Cricetulus griseus: one gene and its partners. The protein of the gene in region 1 interacts with the protein of each later gene in a pairwise test. Links are inferred from orthologs where the notes say so. Each region holds a gene or a part of one and is shown in the gene's direction. Other genes may lie near its edges.

Evidence for each region. The genes of interacting proteins can lie anywhere in the genome.
Region 2: the proteins of keratin, type I cytoskeletal 40 (region 1) and Hdac4 interact in binary tests that used the Homo sapiens proteins (3 or more experiments, as listed by UniProt). The two-hybrid records come from large-scale screens. The link is inferred for Cricetulus griseus from reciprocal best matches to the Homo sapiens genes KRT40 and HDAC4.
Region 3: the proteins of keratin, type I cytoskeletal 40 (region 1) and bystin interact in binary tests that used the Homo sapiens proteins (3 or more experiments, as listed by UniProt). The two-hybrid records come from large-scale screens. The link is inferred for Cricetulus griseus from reciprocal best matches to the Homo sapiens genes KRT40 and BYSL.
Region 4: the proteins of keratin, type I cytoskeletal 40 (region 1) and Fars2 interact in binary tests that used the Homo sapiens proteins (3 or more experiments, as listed by UniProt). The two-hybrid records come from large-scale screens. The link is inferred for Cricetulus griseus from reciprocal best matches to the Homo sapiens genes KRT40 and FARS2.
Region 5: the proteins of keratin, type I cytoskeletal 40 (region 1) and Wt1 interact in binary tests that used the Homo sapiens proteins (3 or more experiments, as listed by UniProt). The two-hybrid records come from large-scale screens. The link is inferred for Cricetulus griseus from reciprocal best matches to the Homo sapiens genes KRT40 and WT1.

Annotation. Positions count from the first base shown.
Region 1 is NC_048600.1:113,048,580-113,053,223, forward strand, and holds the start of keratin, type I cytoskeletal 40, read left to right. Parts: upstream 1-1,735; coding exon 1,736-2,182; intron 2,183-3,450; coding exon 3,451-3,533; intron 3,534-3,833; coding exon 3,834-3,990; intron 3,991-4,644. UniProt on the Homo sapiens protein: May play a role in late hair differentiation.
Region 2 is NC_048595.1:443,481,942-443,485,951, reverse strand, and holds part of Hdac4 (histone deacetylase 4), read left to right. Parts: coding exon 1-90; intron 91-180; coding exon 181-379; intron 380-2,566; coding exon 2,567-2,805; intron 2,806-4,010. UniProt on the Homo sapiens protein: Responsible for the deacetylation of lysine residues on the N-terminal part of the core histones (H2A, H2B, H3 and H4).
Region 3 is NW_023276806.1:255,587,407-255,591,416, forward strand, and holds the end of bystin, read left to right. Parts: exon of another isoform or gene 1-92; intron 93-361; coding exon 362-500; intron 501-766; coding exon 767-900; intron 901-2,126; coding exon 2,127-2,287; intron 2,288-2,415; coding exon 2,416-2,518; intron 2,519-3,010; coding exon 3,011-3,356; 3' UTR 3,357-3,683; downstream 3,684-4,010. UniProt on the Homo sapiens protein: Required for processing of 20S pre-rRNA precursor and biogenesis of 40S ribosomal subunits. May be required for trophinin-dependent regulation of cell adhesion during implantation of human embryos.
Region 4 is NC_048596.1:255,923,009-255,927,018, forward strand, and holds part of Fars2 (phenylalanine--tRNA ligase, mitochondrial), read left to right. Parts: intron 1-3,138; 5' UTR 3,139-3,156; coding exon 3,157-3,771; intron 3,772-4,010. UniProt on the Homo sapiens protein: Is responsible for the charging of tRNA(Phe) with phenylalanine in mitochondrial translation.
Region 5 is NC_048599.1:72,536,202-72,540,211, reverse strand, and holds part of Wt1 (Wilms tumor protein), read left to right. Parts: intron 1-1,492; coding exon of another isoform or gene 1,493-1,502; intron 1,503-3,174; coding exon 3,175-3,297; intron 3,298-3,697; coding exon 3,698-3,800; intron 3,801-4,010. UniProt on the Homo sapiens protein: Transcription factor that plays an important role in cellular development and cell survival. Recognizes and binds to the DNA sequence 5'-GCG(T/G)GGGCG-3'. Regulates the expression of numerous target genes, including EPO.

The DNA of each region.
Region 1 (4,644 bases):
TTTTGAAAGTGAAATAAAAACCACAACGTGAAACCGTGCTTTATAATAGAGATGAAGTCCTATAACAAATGCAAAGAAGGTCTGTCTCAAATCTGCATCCCTTTGGTTCCATGCCATGGAGCTGCTGTTTGAAACAGACATTACATCATCATATATTCCCTAACTTCCAATACTTTTAATTTTCAGGCAATTGAGACGTTCCTAAATAAACAAGAGGGAACAGACCCCCATATAACAGGCGATTAGATTTTTGTGGCTTCCTTGACTCTCCCTAAGTATAATCAATAAGGTTTCCCAAACCTTCACCACAACTTATATCTCCACTGTCCTTGCAAATATAGGTACTGGGGTTGAAGTTTGAGGTATATCATATATGTAGTATGAACAATATGAAAGGTTCAGGCATTATGCTGGCCTGCCCCTGTTACCTGGTGGAATCCACTCAGGCAATACCCTGGTCAGCCCAAGGTTCCATGGGAAAGAAGTCTGCACGCAGGTGCAGAGGACCCCTTTAAAAGATAGGCCCCTGCACCTTTCTCTCTCTCTCTCTCTGCCCCTTTACGCTCGCGCGCTCTCTCTCTCTCCCCCTGTTCCTGCTCTCTGTCCCCTCTCTCTGTTTCCCCGCTGTCTCTCTATGGCGACCGGCCATGGCGGTCAGCCATTACCCTGTCCCTCTTAGTCTCCCCATTCCATTCTACCGGGCCTTATAATAAACTTATAGTCTTAAGTCAATATGTCTGTCTCAATATTTCTCTTTTCTTCTTTTTAAACAAAAGAATAACACAATACCTTATGTCTGAGCCTCAACACCAAAATAAATGAATGATAACAGCTTTTTAAAAGTAGCATAAGGAATCTAACATGGAAATACGAGAAGGCAAAGCTTATGTGTATGACCATCCACTCTGAGCATATCCAATCTCAAAAACTAAGCAGGGGTGGTCATGATCACTGTTTGGCTAGCGATAGAATGTTTGAGATAACCAAAGACCACAATTCAGATCTTGACAACCACTTTCTGTCTTGGCTCACAGGACACAACTTATTCTCATTGTTGTATAAAATGATCTCACGTGCTTTACACTCAGTATATACACCTTTCTCTTTACCATGTAAGCACAGGCTTCAAGGACACACACACACACACACACACACACACACACACACCACACGCACGCACGCACGCACGCACGCACACACGCAGGCATGCATGCCCTTCACGATTGCTAACTATCATTGTGGTGGCTGGTAGCACAAACAAATACATGCAATTTAATGAGCTGTGGTGTCCACTTTTAAAGTAGACAAGAGCAATCGATTTTCAAAATCAAAACCTATGGAAATATTACTTTCTGTATCTCTAATGAGCTCTACCTATGATTACCAATGGCTCAGATTTTCTCTTGGGTTCCTTATTCTTTCAACGGGATAATGTTTCCTATGGCTATTCGCTAAAATAAGGATTTTATCCAAGCAACACGTGGAAATGACAGTCGTCCTGATTTAGTAACCTGAACTTATCCTCCTTTTACGAGGCATAAAACTTCCTCGGTAAATAAGCAACACTAATGAGATGTTTGTAGGAAAACTAGCACCCGCGGTGCTAGAGGAAACATCGGTGTGGCCTGTAAACACCCATTTGAAGGGTGATATAAAGGTCTCAGGGGGGGAAGGAGATGTTTGGAGACAAGACCTCGGCACTACAGCATCCGGTCTGTTCATTCCTTCACAGAAGATGGCTTCTGATGGCTCCCCTGGGTGCTGCTCCTCTGAGCCCTGTGCAGAGGCTCCGGACTGTGCGGCTGCCTCACCCTGTCCCACCGATACAACTTGCCTGCCCAGTACCTGTGCCACATCCAGATGTCAGACCCCGAGCTTCCTCTGCAGGGCTCACCTCTCAGCCGGTCGCCTCTCACCCTGCTACTTCGCTGGCGGTTGTAACAGTCCGTGCCTGGTGGGGAGCTGTGCATGGTGCGAGGAAGGGGCGTTCAACAGCAATGAGAAGGAGACGATGCAGTTCCTGAATGACAGACTGGCCAGCTACCTGGAAAGGGTGAGAAGCCTGGAGGAGAACAATGCGGAGCTCGAATGCAGGATCCGAGAGCAATGCGAGCCCGATGCCCCATTGGTGTGCCCAGATTATCAGCGTTACTTCGACACCATTGAAGAACTCCAGCAAAAGGTTGTGTGTCTCATTCCCTAATGTTCTCTGTTTCCTGTTTCAGAATTCTCTTATATTTACAGTGGCGCGGGTTGTTTTATGGATGTAAAACCAGGGAGGAGGGATTCCCAGAGCTGGTATGCTGCCAGGAAAAGAGGGCCATAGATGGCAAGAAATCTGTCTCAGTATCAGCACTATTGACCATAGAAATGTCATGTCTGTGTGTAGACTATGTCATCTACAGAGAGGGGGAATCTGAATTATGATATCTAAAATCTGTTCTGCATGTATCATTACTTATTTATATTCCTTATCAAACAGACATCAAATGCCATCTCTTTTAGTTCACCTGGTAATCATTTTCCTTTCGTGTGCATGTAGAGAGGGAATACATGCTGTCAATGAGGCCTGAGGTCAATGGCAAGCGTCTTCCACTCCCCGCCTTGTGTTTTGAGACAGAGTCTCTCAAGGGACCTGGGGCTCACTGATTTGACTCACTGGGTGGCTGGCCAGAGAGTCCCAGGGATACTGCTGTCTCTGTCTCCCCTTGCAGGGGTAACAGGCACACACTGCTATACTTAGCTTTCTATACATGAGTTCTACGGTTTGAACCTGGGTCCTCCTACTTGTATTGCAAATGCTCTACTGACAAAGCCTTCTTTCTTTTTTCATTGATGAATTTCTATGACCACAGACAGAGATGCAACTCTAATAAATATTAGCAGTGGAGAAAACTAACAAAGCTCAGCTGTCAATGATGACTGCCAAATGTCCTGCCTTGTGTCACTTATAAAGGAAACCTTGAGATGCAGAAATGACTCAGCAGTGGATAGCAGCACTGTAGCGCTCATGAGCAACCTGAGTTCAGTTCCCAATACCCATATATGGCAGTTCACAACCACCTATAAGTTCATCTCCCGAGGACCTGACACTCTCTTCTGGCATCCTAAGGCAAAGAACAAGTCTACACACACACACACACAGAGTCAGAGAGAGAGAGAGAGAGAGAGAGAGAGAGAGAGAGAGAGAGAGAGAGAGATCAAATACATACACACTCTCACACACAATTGGAAAAAAGATAAAATCTTTTTTTAGAAAGAGAACCTATTTTTATGTCTGTATTTTGTTTCTAAATTGGCACTGCATGTCTCCTTTTTTCTCCATGGTATAGTTATAGGCTGAAAATTATGTTATGCTAATTTTGTTAAGCTAATGAATGGCAGACTGTTAAAACAGAAATGTGGGTTTCTTCCAAAGAGCTGTTGATTACATAATGACTTGCCTCTTAGATACTGTGCACGAAGGCAGAGAATTCTAGACTTGCCGTACAGGTGGACAACTGCAAACTGGCTGCTGATGATTTTAGGTCAAAGTAAGTCAAATTGTATTTATTTTTTAAACCACATTGTATTTTATGTATACAAATTGCATTCTAAATCTTAAATTTAATTTGAAAATAATAATGGCCTCCAGTGATAGAGAATTCTCTGCATGAGATCTTTTTTTTTTAATTTAGAATGTTTGAAACTTGAATTCACCATCATTTGGGATACCCGGGGAATTGTGACATGTGTCTCCCTGGAGGCCACATGTCACTCATCCTTGTACCCCGGCACTTTGGTCAGTGTTTAGCCAAGTAACACACTCCCTTTTCTTTCTCTTGCTGTGAAAGGTATGAGAGTGAACTGTCTCTTCGCCAGCTGGTGGAGAATGACATCGGTGGCCTTCGTGGGATCCTGGGTGAACTGACCCTGTGCAAGTCAGATCTGGAGGCCCACGTGGAGTCCCTGAAAAGTGATCTCCTTTGCCTTAAGAAAAGCCACGAAGAGGTAAGTGAAGTGGCCACTGTGCCAAGGACTATAGGGAGAGTTCTACCGAGAGATTTCATGGGTATAAACTGAACCAGGGCAGACACTGACTAAGCTGGAACAAAACCAGAGGCAGGCCCACTGTGTGGTTTGAGCATCCCAGTGTCTCTCAAGGTAGATGTGACATACAGTGTGTATTGTTGCATAACATCACCCGCCCCAAGTGCCAGGGTGAGGCCACTCTCCCTCCTGCCATTGCTTGGGTGAAGAATTAACTCCACTAATGGCTATTTCTGTAGCTCTACTGTACAACAAGAAAATAGAGCTGTATCCACTTCCAAAAAAGGAATAAATAGTCATGCAATATTAGGAGTAATATTTTTTAGATATTGTACATTTATAATCTTGTTTCTATTATAAGCTTAAGAATGAAATGCAGAGTTACATAATAAAGTAAAACAAAAATGTATTCTTTGCATATTTTGATGGTAGTAACAGCTGACAATTACAGATACCTTAGCATTTCTCAAGAATTTTATAAATTTATTGTCTAACTCTTCCCTGTTTCACAATAACCCTCTGGAAAAGAGAACAGTATTATAGCCATTTTGAAAATGAAGAAACTGAGACACTTGAAACTAAGAAAAAGAGGGAGATAGAGAAATGGCCCAGCAG
Region 2 (4,010 bases), on another chromosome or scaffold:
CGAGAAGGCTCAGTCGCCCCACTCCCTCTCTACACATCTCCATCCTTACCCAACATCACCTTGGGGCTTCCTGCCACCGGCCCTGCCGCTGTAAGTTGGTCTCCGTGGGTCTGGATGACATGGGGTGGTTGTCTGCCTCCATCCCCACAGCCTGAAGAATATCCTGGTTGTACCTTTCAGGGTGCGGCGGGCCAGCAGGATACTGAGAGGCTTGCTCTCCCAGCCCTCCAGCAGCGGATCTCCTTGTTCCCTGGCACCCACCTCACCCCATACCTGAGCACCTCACCCTTGGAGCGGGATGGTGGAGCAGCTCACAACCCCCTCCTGCAGCATATGGTCCTGCTGGAGCAGGCCCCCACCCAGACACCCCTTGTCACAGGTAAGAAACATCGCCAGGTCTCTGGGCAGTTAGGTCAGTCTCATTGGCCTCTTGTAGCCCACACAACAGTAGTCACTCTGGGTCCCTGTTATGTGATACCTACCTCAGCTCTGACAAGGATCTGTGTCCTCCTTAGAAAGCTGGCCAAGAGGTAGAAGTCAATGCCAGTGCCCTCTGTTTAGCCTCCTGCTCTTCCTCAGACAGGTTTCCCTGCAGCTCAAGGAAGCCAGTGCATGGAATTCAGAATTGACTGGACAGACCCCTGATTGCTTGAGGATGATTACATTTAGAAAAATACAAGTTAGAGAAAGATAGGAAACTCGTGCAGTTTACCTAGTGAATGTGCTATAAAGAGACTGTTTAAGAAGTGACACAGAGCCCTACCTATTAGTGGCCTTGCCCAGCTGTATGTCATCCTTAGGTCTGTGGGTGACTTCCTCACAGCTATTGCTTCACTCAGAATCATGGCCAGAGCAATTTTAGGACTGGCTTGTACATGTTCCCATGTTCCCCTGGGCCAGCCTCTGACTGGTGTTTTGGAGTACCTCCACCTGCTGGTATGAGTCAATCTGTAGCACTTGGTATTGTGTTCTGCCTTGTGCTTTTTCATCTCCAATGTGCACTTGGCTCTCCCAAACCACTGATCTGGACAGAAATAGCATTTCTGGCCACTGGTATCGTCTGAGAAATAATGGACACCCCTGCCGCAGCTCTGGAGAACAGTGTCCCAGTGAACAACCATGAGTTGTTCATTATGTTCAGGCCCCTTCCTGTCTGTTCTCTGGGAAACTGCTCGCTGTGGGCTTCATCTTCCCACCTGTGAGTGAGATGCTAGCACAGAGTGATGACACTTCAGTTCCCATATGCAGCATCTGACACCCAGCAACCTGGTCGGTGTTAGTCTCCTGGTTGAGGCTGTTCCTCTTGTGTTGGATTTGGTGGTTTTGGTTTTTGTCTGTTTACTTATTTGGTCCTTTGTTACTGTTTTGATACTAAATCTTACTTTGTTGCCCAGACTAGCCTCAAACTCTGATTCTCTTGCCTCAGTCTCCTAAGTGCTAGGATGTTGCCCAGGCTAGCCTCAAACTCTGATTCTCTTCCTCAGTCTCCTAAGTGCTGGGATGTCAGACCTCCACACTCTTCCCCCAATAATTCCACCCATTCTTCCTAGTGCCCCACCTCCTCCATGTCATGTGGTCCTGATGCTGCATCTCATTGGGTTTCTTCTGTTCTCTGAGGAGAGGAACCTGAACAGGGTTTCTTATGCTCAGCCATAGCTGTCCTTAGAGGCCCAAGTTCCCTATTGTCTAGAGCAATGATAAATGATACTGTGTGTAGTGCCCAAGCCTATGAGCATTCAAGCCAAAGTCATAGTACAGCATCCCACTACTTATGAGCTGCTCATCTCAGGACAGTGCCCACTGGCAAAGGGGTCAGTCAGCTCTTAGCACAGATGCCAGCCTTCACCACAGTCCTCCTCCTGGGCCGACTGACCAGGGAAAGTATGTGGAAGCAAACATTCTTCTCTAGGCCCTTCCCACTGCTTTGAGCTCACGTCTGCCCACTGTCCTGCAGCTGCTGCCTCTGCTCTCCACCGTCTGCATGCTGTGCTCTCACTGAATTTGCCTGCTCTCTGTGAAGCCCCACTCTCCTGCCCCTGGAGAAGATTTGCTTCCTTCCCTGTGCCACCCTCCCCTCCTTTCCCGATACCACTCTGTGTCTGATACAAAGTGGTGGGATTTGTTGAAGCTCAAGGTCTTGACAGTGCCTGGGTGTCTGATGGAGACAGGGTCTCACTGTCAGTTTGTCTCTGCATTCTCTCTGGCAATTGGGTGTGTGGGAGAGCTAGAGCAGCCATCCTCTGGAACACCTGTGAGAGGTGTGGTAGGCTGATGCTAGGCTGTTGCCACACTTCTGGAGCGCTCCTCTGTCAGAGTTCCTGGAGAGCCTGCATCGATGGGATCTTCAGGTGGCCTTGCTTTCAATTACACTCTGCCCACCCTGAAGCCCAGGCTCCAAGCTAACACCCTGTAGCTGGAATTGGACCTGTTTGCAGAAAGTCATGTTTCATAGAAGGCACCTGGGCTGGCAGGCATGTGGTTTTCTCCACTGGTTACTCAACAGCGTCTCTCCCTCTCTTCTTCCTCTTCCCCTCTGCTGTTTTTTTTTCCTCCATATTATCTTCAGACTGGTATCTTTCAGGCCTGGGGGCGCTGCCCCTCCACACACAGTCCCTGGTTGGTGCGGACAGGGTGTCCCCATCCATTCACAAGTTGCGGCAGCACCGCCCCCTGGGGCGCACACAGTCAGCGCCCCTGCCGCAGAACGCACAGGCCCTGCAGCACCTGGTGATCCAGCAGCAGCACCAGCAGTTCCTGGAGAAGCACAAGCAACAGTTCCAGCAGCAGCAGCTGCACCTCAGCAAGGTGGGTCTGCCCAGCTGCCTTCCCTCTGGGACTGCTTACCTAGAGCCAGATGCCATATGCCTTGCCCCTCTGCTGACCTTGAGTGGCCAAAGCAAGGCAGGGAGAACACAAAGCACATGTTCAGGTGCGTGGTCCAAAGCCCAGGAAGCTGTGCTGCTGTGTGGAGCTGCTGTGCAGATGTGTCCACAGCCTTCCTTATAGCCCGTCTGTCTGTGAGTACAGCTGTGCAAGAAGCCTCTGCAGTGTTGTGTGGGGCAATCCACAGAGGGATTTTCTAAAGCCATTTGCCAAGTAGATCTTTAAGCAGACCTTAACCTGAGGCCTACAACTTTACAATGGCACCTAGTCCCTGAAGCATATTTTTCAAGTCACCTGGCACCTGCAATCACTTAAATGTGGGAGTTACACCATCTGAGGCAGCTTGAGACCAGGCATCCTGTAAAGGTCTGCACACTCGCAGACTGTCCAGAGCCTCTCAGCTCCATCTACAGGTGGAGGCTGTGGGAAAAGTTAGTACAGTGGTCCTGTCAAGTAGAGAAATGGAGGGACTTAATATGTTCCCATCAAATGTGTCAGTTGGGTGGCTTCAGTATGAACTCAGATGAGTGCATTGCAGCTGGCCTCCAAGAAGAATGGAAATGTCTTGCAGACGCCTCTCCACACACCTCATCTGTACTGCTCATAGCAGCCAGATGATGGATGGAACATCCCCAGGTGACATCCTGTGGTGACTGATGACAGAACACACCCCTCTTATCATGGGGTCCTGCAGCAGGTATAGACCCGAAAACCTGGCAGTTGGGAAAGTAAACCAGTCACGAATGGACCCCACTGTGTTTCACTCACAGGTATAGGCAAAGCCTTAGACCTAATGCTGTGACCCTGTAATACAGTTCCTCGTGTTGTGGTGAACCCCCAAACCATAACATTATTTCATGCTACTCCATAACTGTAATTTTGCTGCTGTTGTGAATCGTAATGCAAATGTCTGATATGCAGCCCCTGTGAAAAGGTTACTCAGCTCCCAAAGGGGTCACCACCCACAGGATGAAAACTGCTGCCTAAGAGGCATGAATTAAGTTAGTGGTTGTCAAGAGCTACAGTGGGTACAGCATTTATGTATGTTTAAAGGTAATGAAAATGTTCTCAAGCTAGGTTATAGTGATAGCTACAAAGTTCTGTAATGTGCTCTGCTGTTCAGTTTA
Region 3 (4,010 bases), on another chromosome or scaffold:
CAGCATTTATGCTAAAACTGGAACAATATCACAGACTAGAGTGACCCCTGTGCAAGGGTGACATGCTAGTTTGTGCAGCATTCCTGATTTGTTTGGGGACTGTTTTGTGGCTCCTTTTTTCCTCTGAGACAGTGTCTTACTACGGAGTCCTGGCTGACCTGGAATTCCCTATGAAGACCACCACACTGGCCTTAACCTCACAGAGATCTGCCCAAGTGTTGGCCTTAAAGGCTCGTGCCACTATGGCTGGCTGGCTGTCTTCTGTCTGTCCTTCCTTCCTTTCATGAACAGGGTGAGGGGACTTTAGAGCTTCCTGGAGAGTGACCCTAGTTCTTCACCCTTGTCCCCTCTGTCTCCATAGGCGCACACTGGCTGACATCATCATGGAGAAGCTGACAGAGAAGCAGACAGAGGTGGAGACGGTCATGTCAGAGGTGTCGGGCTTCCCTATGCCTCAACTGGACCCCCGGGTCCTGGAGGTCTACAGAGGAGTCCGGGAGGTAAGGACTGTGAGGGCATGTGTGGTGGGGTATCCTAACAGGAAGCCTCTCACACATGGCACCCGACGAGTGAGCCATGGTGGCCAGGACAGAAAAGGACTGAGGCAGAACCAGTGGGCTCAGGGTCTAGTCACTAAATTCTGGTCACCTGAGAAATGAGCCTTTTTGGGTTGCTCTGAAGATAAGTGAGGCCGCGCATGAAAACGCAGGGACGGGGCCAGGACCTCAACCGTGGGTGCTGATGGCTCTGCCTCCTCCATCTCCAGGTGTTATCCAAGTACCGAAGTGGGAAACTGCCCAAGGCTTTTAAGATCATCCCTGCACTGTCCAACTGGGAGCAAATCCTCTATGTCACTGAGCCTGAGGCCTGGACTGCAGCTGCTATGTATCAAGCCACCAGGTAGTGTAGATGGTCTAGGGCGGCTGATCTGTGGTGCAGGGTGTGGTGAGTAGACTCTGCCTCCCTCAGCCATGTCATTGGCCAGCCCATGGCTCTCTCCCTTGGACTTGTTCCTACTACTCCCTTAACTTCTCCTCCTGTGTTTTCAGGACAAAGTCCTGTGGTAGACTTCCATGGGAAGGGCCTACATAGCTTCCAGGATACAGCCCTGGTGTGAGAGAAGAGTAGCTCGAGAATTCTGAGAATTCTCCGGTGACCTCAGGTCCCTCATGGTGGAGAAAGGAGAGTAGCCAGCCAAAAACTGGACTGGGAAAGAAGCTCGAGGTGCCTCGCTTAAATAATGCACAAAAGGCCATGGGGCTAAGCAACAGCACTGTCTGAAATACACTAGGGGCCAGGCAATGGTGGTGCACACTTTGAATCCCAGTACTCAGGAGGCAGAGGCAGGTGGATTTCTGTGAGTTCTAGGCCAGCCTGCTCTGCACAGTGAGTTCCAGTAGAGTCAGGACTACACACAGAGAAACCCTATCTCGAAAAACCAACAAAAGAAAAATGCTAGGTCTGGAGAGGTGGCTCAGTGGTTAAGAGCACTTGTTCTTCTAGAAGACCTGGGTTCAATTCCCAGCACCCACGTGGAGGCTTTCAACCATCTCTAGCTCTAGGAAATCCGATGGGTACCAGGAACATATATGGTGCACAGACCTACTTGCAGGCAAAGTAGCTCCTCTTTAAGCTGACCTGGGTGTGGTGTGCATACTGTTATTCTTTTGTTTAAATTAGAAATGAAGAAGAGGCACAAGATGAGACATGAGACTAAGATGTATTACCCAGTTTATTATAAGCCCGGTAGAGTAGAGACTAAGAAAGAAGAGGAACGGGGTTAATGGCTGACCGCCATGACCGGTTGCCATAGAGAGGCAGAGAGAGCAGAAGAGAAGAGAAGAGAGTGTAAGTGGGCAGGGTCTGTCTTTTAAAGGGTTCCTCTATACCACCTGCGTGCAGACTTAGTTCCCATGGAACCCTGGGCTTACCAGGGTACTGCCTGAGTGGATTCTGCCAGGTGACAGAGGCAGGCCAGCATAATGCCTGAACCTTTCACATACCACTTCACATACCCCTCTCTGAAGTGATGTCCCCATATCTTACTCTAAAACCTCTCTCATGCATGGTGATACTTAAAAGGCCAGGGCCAGACTCTTGTGACTTGCAAACTCCCACCTTGCTAGGATTTTTGCCTCTAATCTGAGAGAACGGATGGCTCAGCGCTTCTACAACCTTGTCCTGCTTCCCCGAGTACGAGATGACATCGCAGAGTACAAACGACTCAACTTTCACCTCTACATGGCACTCAAGAAAGCCCTCTTCAAACCTGGAGCCTGGTTCAAAGGTAAAAACCCAGAATTAGGAGAGAAAGGAAGGGTCAGTACTCTGCTTGGCAACTGGCTATCTCCACTGTTGGTCCTTAGATGATGGGGTTGCTGGGTACTAAAAGTCCCTGTATATGACTCTGCCTAGGAATCCTGATCCCATTGTGCGAGTCTGGCACATGTACCCTCCGAGAAGCCATCATCGTGGGCAGCATCATCACCAAGTGCTCCATCCCTGTGTTGCACTCCAGGTAGTGTTGGTGAGGTCGGTGGAGAGTCATGTAGTAGAGAGGCCAGAACTTTGGCAGGAGGGCAAGAAGGGAGAATGAGCTATGATTACCTAGAGTCTGTGGCTATTTAAACCAGCAGGTATATGATTTCCTCCAGTAGAATAGAAGCCTTCGAGGGCAGGATCCAAAGACCTGGCACACAGTAGGTGTTCAGTAAATAGTTGTTGAATGACGGCATGAATGAATGGATACCTAGAAAAAGGTGTGAAAAATGGTGGAGTGGTGAGACATTTAGACACACCCTATCGAGTTGAATGCAGGGATTGTTTGCTATCCCGGCCAGAGGCAGAAGTGTGAGATGGATGTAGACAGGCGGTAAAGAGAATCAATCCCAGGAGTGTACTAATGAGGAGATGCGGGGACACCTTGGGAATGCTCTAGGTTAGGGTGAGTCTGGGGAGACACTTTGTCCAGAATCTCTCCACTAGTCCTTAACTCCAGCTTCCCTCCTAGTGCGGCCATGCTGAAGATTGCCGAGATGGAATACAGTGGCGCTAACAGCATTTTCCTGCGCCTGCTGTTAGATAAGAAGTATGCGTTGCCATACCGGGTGCTAGACGCCCTGGTCTTCCATTTTCTGGGCTTCCGGACGGAGAAGCGCCAGCTGCCTGTGCTCTGGCACCAGTGCCTCCTGACATTGGCACAACGCTACAAGGCCGACTTGGCCACGGACCAGAAGGAGGCCCTCCTGGAACTGCTTCGACTGCAGCCCCACCCACAGTTGTCTCCGGAAATCAGACGTGAGCTCCAGAGTGCAGTCCCCAGAGATGTAGAAGATGTTCCTGTCACCATGGAATGACAGCGCTCACCTGTCTTGGTCCAGGGAGGATAGGAGGACACCAGGAGCCCAGTTGGTGACCAACGATCTAGTTAAAGACCTAGGTTAAGGCACCGAAGGCTTACGACAGCATCTGTGTGTGGCTCTAGTCCTGGGCAGGAGGATTGATCTGGTTGGCTTTCTCTGCCATTCTAGGCTTTGGTCCCTGTTCACTTCTGGAAGCTAACTGGAGTTACCTGATGTCAGCACTCCCTCAACCCAGCCGGTACTTGGTATTAGGGCTGCTCTCTCCAGTTACTGTGTCAGTTCACTGGGGTGTGGATAAAACAGAGTTGGTTATTTATTGAAGCTCTGTGTTTTGGTTCAGTCCCTGGAGGTTCCTGCCTCCCCTGTGGCTAGAGGTGAGAGTCATTCATGGTTCTTTCTGTTCCCAGTTCAGAGGAGTGGCTTCTTAGTGTCCATAGAACCCTCACCCTGTTCCTCACAACGGTCTATCTAGACTCCCCTTCCTCTCCACAAAGAGAGTGTGTGTATTGCACGCATGCAGGCAATACACACACTCCCTACCAAAGACATGTTCATGGGCTATTTTGGGGGAACACCAGCTTCTGCTGGTGTTCTGCTGGAAAGGTCGTAGTCGCCTCATTGCTCTCAGTGGAGACTGCTGTAGGAGCA
Region 4 (4,010 bases), on another chromosome or scaffold:
TGTTTGGGTATCGAAAATGAGAGTATGGACATAAACTAGAGCTGAGCAGATGGACCAAAAGTTACAAAAAGAGGATGAAAAAAATTACACTTTCACGGACAAGCTTGACATGTGAGAAGATCATTACAGGATGTTAGGATAAAGTTCATCTATGGGAACCTGGAAAGACTTTTTGTGTGTGAGATGAGACGCTGATGAAATAAAACACAGTTGGCAACCATAAATAACCGTATAAAGGTACCCTTTCAACCAGTCCTAAACTTTGTATAACAGTATGTGCTTGTGGAAGAAAGAAATGTTTTCTTATATCTTGCCAAGACTACTGAGCTGAGTAACTAGCAGCTTAACAGTGTGGGTTTGTGCTGGGATGTGTAAGGCTGCATGTGCAAATTTGAAATTCATATCTACTGCAGGGACAAGTTACTGAACAACGTAGACGGCAAGACAGATTTCAGTTGAAGCTCAGCCCAAAACACTAGAAATAACTCTGACAAAGCAATGCCATGTGCATAACTCCAGAGCATTCCTGGGAATCTCTGAAAGCTTCTCTATCATGATAGTTTAAGGGACAGGCTTCTAGGAAGTTCTTCCCTCTTGGAATTTTGACTCTGGCAGTTGTGCTGTGAGATAGGCTTTTGATGGACCATGGAGTTATGTATTTTTGGTGGAATTGAAGGAAAGTAACCAAGTTGTATATTTTAAATTATCTCATAATGAATGTTCAAAAAAAATGAGTGACTTAAGTTTAAGAACTTAAATTATTTCTAAATTTTCAACTTTCATCTCTAGTTACCCTGGTTAATATGGTCCCTGAGGGAGTTCAAAACTCCTTTTTTGATGTTGTTAGTATTCAGGCATCTGTACTGGCTTGCTCTTGGCGTTCTGACAGAATATATCCTTAGCAGCAGCCACTAGGAGCACAACCTGTGCACATTCACTACATTCCCTTTTAAAAAGGCCCTGCCCACCTCCTATCTTTCTCTCCCTCTCTGTCTCTCTTTCTCTCTGTATCTCTCTCTCTACTTCTCTACTTCTCTGCCTGTCTCTCTGTCTCCTCCCTCTCTGCCTATCACATGGCATCTTTCTCTTGAGTGCCGCTTTTTAAATTACACCAGATGTAAAGCATAAACAATGTTAGTAGATCATAGTCTTTCCACTAATAGGCATAGAGTTTGGGCATCTATTCCTGGGTATTCATATTTTACCTGAGAAGTCAATGATCTATCCCACATGATTGCTGAGATGGCTATTAGTTGGGAAATTCTATAATCTTACAAAATGTTATATATTTTTCTTTCTCTTGCTGCTCCCCGAGTCAGTCTCTATCTTCTGTCAACTTTGTGTCCCCTTTCCAGTAAATTCTGTTCTATTTTAGGCTTATTGTGTGCACATATTACAATAGAAACTGTCTTTTATGAGGAGGGATAGTCACTGATGGAATGATGCAAAGGGTTTTAGATTAAATGTCATGACCAATAAGAGCAAGAAGACTTACATTCACAAATATAATTTCTTCCCACTCTTGGCATAGTCTGTTACTTAGTATTGTTTCATTAAGTTTTTTTTTTTGAATCACTGAATGTAACTCTCTACCATTTAAAGTAATAACTTTATTCAGAAGATCTGATGTTTGTGTATGTGCTGTGTATATGTGTTCATGTGGTTGTGTGCATTTAGGTACATGTAGAAGCCAGTGGTCAACATTGGATGATTTTCTCAGATATTTCCCACCTTGGTTTTGAGACAGGACCTCTCATACTCCCCACCTTATTTTTATAGACAGAGTCTTTCGGTGTACTTGGAACTCATCAGTTTAGCTAGGCTGACTGGCTCATGAGCCCCTGACCCAATGATGGTTTTCCAGATGCTTGCTGTCGTGTCCATCTTTTTTTACATGGGCACAGGGGATCCAAACGTGGGCTCTCTTACATGTACTTTATCAACTGAGCCATCTCCCAAGGTCCTATTCAAAATGTTTTTTCAAAGGTATAGTTAATGGCTTTTTTTATTATTCTGTGAATTATTCCAGAGGGCAGTAGGTACTCTCTGTAAAAGGAAAAGAGGGCTTTGTAGTTATAAGGGTAGAGAGCAGAAAGGTGAAGTGTGGGTATTTTCTGTAATCTTCTCTTGTTGCCCATCAGAGGTCTTAGTCTTAATATGAACATATAGTCTCTTTAATGAGTGAGTCCAACTCTATGGACTCTGATAACTTTCAGGTGATCATTCTGCTGATTCTTTTGGTTGTAAGTTACAGTGTAGTAAAAATAAAGGTAGTTGTTGCTTAGAATGCTTTCTTCTTCATGAGATTTGAACAAGGTGGCATGTGAAGGCCTTTTTCTCTATAGAGCAAAGAATTTAAATGACAGAAGATGGACACCTAGAAATTAGTGACCTATAAGCACCTTCAGTATTCTGATTTAGTGCAGTAAACACTAAGGCTTTGTCGTAGCATGTTTTGTTTGTTTATTTATTAATTAGTTAAAATTTTGAGACAGGGTCTTACTATGTAACCTTGACCTGCCTGGGACTTGCTATGCTAGACCAGGATAGCCTCAAACTTATAGAAATCCACCTGCCTTTGTCTCTTAGTTGCAGGATTAAAGGTGTGCACCAACAAGCTAGAGTCATTTTTTTTCTTGGTATAAGAGAATACCACAGATTGAACAATGTATAATAAAAGGAAACTTGTTTCTCACAGCTCTGGAGTTTGGTGTTAAAGATCAAGGCACTACCATGAAGCCAGGCCCTTCTAGTTTGATCATCTTGTGGCAAAAGAGAGAGAACAAAGTTTGAGCTTACCCTTGTATGAGGAGCCCATTCCCACACTAATTAACCCACTCATGTTCTAGAGGTAGGGCCCTTGTGCTTTGCACCTTTTAATCCTATTAGATGGCAGTGAAATTTCAACAGGAATTCTGGGGAGAATATTCAAATTATAATGGCCTATGAATAGATTTTCTCAGTTGTCTTCCTGTGGTGTGGCCGTGATGTCAGGGACATGTGATGTCAGGGACATGTGATGTCAGGGACAGAATGTCACTAGGAAAGTAGTGAGCCTGTTGAGAGAACACAAGAATACATTCGTTGTTGTCCACAGAATGAAACTTTACTTGTGCAATTTCTGTGCATTCTTTCCAGAATTTGTGAGAAGTTTCCATGATGGTCTGTTCAGCCTTCATCAGAGCTGCCCATGAACACACCTTCCTAGTAAGGAACATCAGCCATGTCTTCAGATGCCATCAGCATCAGGCCTGGGGCTCAAGGCCAGCTGCATCACAATTTGCTGCCCAAGGTGCTCCAGGCAGTGTGGTGGAGCTGCTGGGAAAATCCTACCCTCAGGATGACCACACCAACCTCACCCCGAAGGTCCTTTCCAAGGTGGGCAGGAACCTGCACAACCAGAAGTACCACCCTCTGTGGCTGATCAAGGAGCGGGTGAAGGAGCACTTCTACCGGCAGTACATGGGCCGACCCAGGACCCCTCTGTTCTCCGTCTATGACCAGCTTCCGCCAGTGGTCACTACATGGCAGAACTTTGATAGCCTGCTAATCCCAGCGGACCACCCCAGCAGGAAGAAGGGGGACAACTATTACTTGAATCGGGTGCACATGCTGAGAGCACACACATCAGCACACCAGTGGGACTTGCTGCATGCAGGACTTAATGCCTTCCTCGTGGTGGGTGATGTGTATCGTCGTGACCAGATTGATTCCCAGCACTACCCAGTTTTCCACCAGCTGGAGGGTGTCCGGCTCTTCTCCAAGCATGAGGTGAGTCTTTAGCTGTGTCTCCTTGTTGAAGACATTTGTATTGATGTCCCTGAAGACTGCTGGCCACTGAAACTCGGAGAGTTGTCCTCCGTCTTCATTTCCTTTACAGACACATCTGTTTTTTGTGACGTCTTTCCTGTACGCTGGCATTTACAGTATGTCTCATGGGTTGTCTCGCACCACTGCCAATGGTAAACTCCAAAACAAATTTTCTTTTTTACTTGTCTTTCCTCATCCCA
Region 5 (4,010 bases), on another chromosome or scaffold:
TTTGATTGGGAGATGCCAGCTGTCCCTGGAAAGTGTGAGAATGGCCACCATCATGCTTTACTCTGATTCCACTGTGAAGAATTCAAGCTGGCTCTAGTTACCTGTATACAAACCAGGGAGCCTAACTATGACACTCACTCATCCCTTCATATATATATATATATATATATATATATATATATATATATATTTCTTATATATATTTCTTATATAGCTGCCACCCTAATTGTCTAAACATAAATTTAGCAAACACCAAAACATTACTTGGTGGGGAGGGGGTGTAGATTCTCTATTAAGACAGTTAATGGCTATAGGAACCTTTACAAGAAGCACATAGCCCGAGATAGAAGGAGTGAGCCTCTTAATACTAGGGACTGAAGTCTAGGCACTAGGGGATTAGACTTCAAGAGGCCTCTTAGGTTTTGGCAGAGCTAGGACTTGAACCCATATTTTTCTTCTGTTCCACCCCCCCCCCCCAGAAATTTTGACTGTGTGATTGAGGTGGATTTTCTCTGCGCGGTTGAATAGGCCCTGACAACTTGTGAGTGTGAGATGGTTGGAAAGTTTGTCAGGACCCAGAAGTGAGGGTGAGGATTTTCCTAGTCTGGCCCCAATGTGGCCTTGACAGTCGGCTTCTGACACCCCACACCCATTCCCAGCACTAGCTAGTAGCTAGTGCTCACATCAGCGTGAGCTTAGAGCCCGGGGATCAGCCCTTCCGAAGCTAGTCACGAGAGGAAGACCAGCTGTGATGGGGCCAAAGGCGCCCCCCTCGGGTTACATCAAAGACAGTAGTTGGGTGGGAGTGAGGACTCCACCTATCTCATGGCAGCAAGGTTTTCCGGAACACCTCCCAGGCTTAGCTGTTGTAGGATCTCCTCATCAGCTCCACAGGACCAGGCTGGGGCAGCCTGTTCCGGGCTCCTCCACAGTGGAGGCAGGGGAGGAGTGCTCAGGGCGCTGTGCTCCTTCCTGCAAGGTCAAGGTTGCTGTCCCCTCCCTGGTCCAGACCAATCGTGGGAAAGTGGCTACCTTGGCCTCGAGGGTCTCTCCCTGCAAGGCCTGGACAAGAAGCTTTTGAACACTTTTGATACTTCGCAGAGTCAGCAGTCTCTCCCCCGACTCTCACTCCCACCCTCTTCGAGATGGGCTCAGCTCAGTCCCGGTACAGCGGGTTCCTAATCAGCACTGATTCTGATAAGCTTCTAATTAAAAGAGCTCTCCCTCGGATCCCGCGGCTTTCACTGTTGCCCCTCCCAGGAGCCCCAAGGGAGGGGCTCGAGGTTGCCTGCCGAGGTCGTCGTCTCACCACCGACTAGGTGGGTAGGGAGCCTTGTCGGACTCCCGCATCCTCAAGCCGGAGTTCCAGAGCGCCGAGTGGAGGTCCCCAGCGTGGGAGCTGCAGCCTGGCACCAGCAGCTCTTGCCACCTGCGGTTGAGCAGCGGGTCTCAGACTGTGCGTGCCTTAGGTCTTTGGCTGCTCGGCTCAGAAATGGAGAAGGGTTCGTTTAGAGAAACTTTCTTTATTGCCTCTACTTCCTCCCCCGCGTCCCCCCTTTTTTGTTTAAGTGCTCTTTCACAAACTCCTCATTTCTGATGGGAAAACTCGGGTGGGTGCCTAGATCCAAATTTCGTTTGTAAGCTGTAGGCCTCAAGTAGGACCAGGGCTTTTCTCTGAAAAGGAAGTCCCTGGAAGGCCAGATGTGCTTATTGATCCACACCCAAGAGCTATTAGGGTTGGAGATTATCTTTCTCCACTTCACAGGAAGAAAAATGAGGCACTCTGGGCTCACTCAGGTTGAAAAGCTGACTGATTCCCCCATTCACTAACCAGAGCTCCCGGGGCACTTGTCTTCGAGGGACATAACTCGGTAATTCCTATCCCTTCACTGTGAAACACGTCAATCTGGCCGTGTACATTTACTGCTCCGGAGTGACCCGGATAGTTTGGGCAGTGGGTGTCGCCCTCTATAATTTTGACGTTGGAGATAACTGGCCTCCTGTCTCTATACAGAATGAATGATCTCGGCCATCCCTTATTGAAGAACCTTGATCAACTGGTGCAAGAGTGGGGACTTTGTTTTACCTTAATTTCTAGAGGTTTTTGTTTTGTTTTTGTTTTTTTTTGGCTTTAGAGGCTGCGCAGTAGGAAGCCATTGGGGCTCTAGTGATTGCCCTGAAGGGGCCATTCTCAGGGTCCAGCCTCATTTGCATTCTATCCTGCCAGTCTGGGTTCCCTCTTCCTAACTTCACCACAGGAAGAGGAGGCCCCACCCTCATAAAGTCCCTAGGAGGATTCTTAGGATGCCATCTCTTGCACCAACTTGAGCTTTGGCAAAGCAGGTGGGATATGTATTTATAGAAATTTAATAACAATATCAATTCAAGAATGAGATTTCCAAGACTCGACATTGCTTTTCATCCATTTGGGTGATAGGAAAGAGCACCAGTTTCTGTTTCTCAGAAGGGAAACTGAGGCAAGGAACTGAGACACTGCTACCCAGGGACAGTTAAGGTCAGTGTCCCGCACACTGAAAGGTTAGTCATTACAGCAGTGGTCAAAATTGGGCCCTCTGAGCCCCGGGTAGGCGTGGGAGGGGAAGAAGGACTCGACCCAGCTGCGAGGGTCCTCCTTTTCCAGCCACACAAACCTTCCTAAAGGCTTTCGGTGTCTTGGTGTCAGGCTGTGCAGCCCAGAGAGGTAATGTGCCCTGGTAGTTCTCTCTGCTTTTAAAGCGCAGACCGCTGAACTGGCCCCAGTAATTAATGGAAGTTGGTGCACGGCCCCTGATTTACAGCCCTGAGTCAAAGCGGGGTCAGCGGAGGAAACTCAGTCCTCTGGGCCGAGCCGCCCTTGCGCGAGAACCTCGGTGTTGTTTGTTTTTAAGAAAGACAGTCTCCGCCAGGCGGGCGACGGTTTTTACACCTAACTTGGGGAGGCTCTATTCAGCAATGGAAGACTGAAACATAGAAGAATTGGGGAACAGAAGGAGCTTGGGATTTTAGTTGGGAAAAAGTATGGATGAGGTCATGCCTGCTTTAAGCCTGAATGAGGTTCTAGTCGGAGGGTCCAAAGTCAGGTACCCGATTATCACCCGAGTTCTAGTCGCGCCAATGCTCCTGCTTTTTCCCCGAGCCTAACTGACTCTGTGCTTCTTTCTGTCGGTTCCTCAGGATACAGCACGGTCACTTTCGAAGGGGCACCCAGCTACGGCCACACGCCCTCGCACCATGCAGCGCAGTTTCCCAACCACTCCTTCAAACACGAGGACCCCATGAGCCAGCAGGGCTCTCTGGGTAAGTGGATGGAAAAGATGCGGGTCTTTACCCACTGCCTCCACGTATTGCACCGCTTCCTGCGCGGATCTAAGCCTTACCAAATTGGGAAAGGGGATAGAGTACATCTAAAGGGATCTAGAAATAATAGCTGGCTTTCCTCTGTTTGAAAGATCACAGCTCTGTCCATTCTAAGTAAGTTACAAAAAAGCGCCACTCAGACAAGGCAACCAATGCCAGAGAGTGATGGCAATGCAACCTGAAGTGAGGAAGTTTTCGTTCCCTTGGATTGAGAGCGGCCTTTTTGTCACATGGCTGGCCATACTGTCCGAAGCTCAGCACGCTCTCCCTCGCACCAGAACCCCTGCCTGTGCCTCACACTCTTGAGTCCCGCTCACTACCACCCTTGGCTCTCTGGCAGGCGAGCAGCAATATTCGGTGCCGCCCCCGGTGTATGGCTGCCACACCCCTTCGGACAGCTGCACCGGCAGCCAGGCCCTGCTGCTGAGGACGCCCTACAGCAGGTAAGAAGGTGCGGAGCACCACGACTGTATTATGGTGACCCTGGAGGTGCAGGTGAGCGGGCCAGAGAGGGAAGCCAGACCCTGGCCATGTCTGACACCAGGAAGGTCTTGGAGGCAAAGAAAAGCCTGTACCCTGCCCAGACACTCAAATTAAAGCAGGTGTCTTGGATATAAATTTGCTTTGTATGTAAATGAAACCGTTATGTTTGG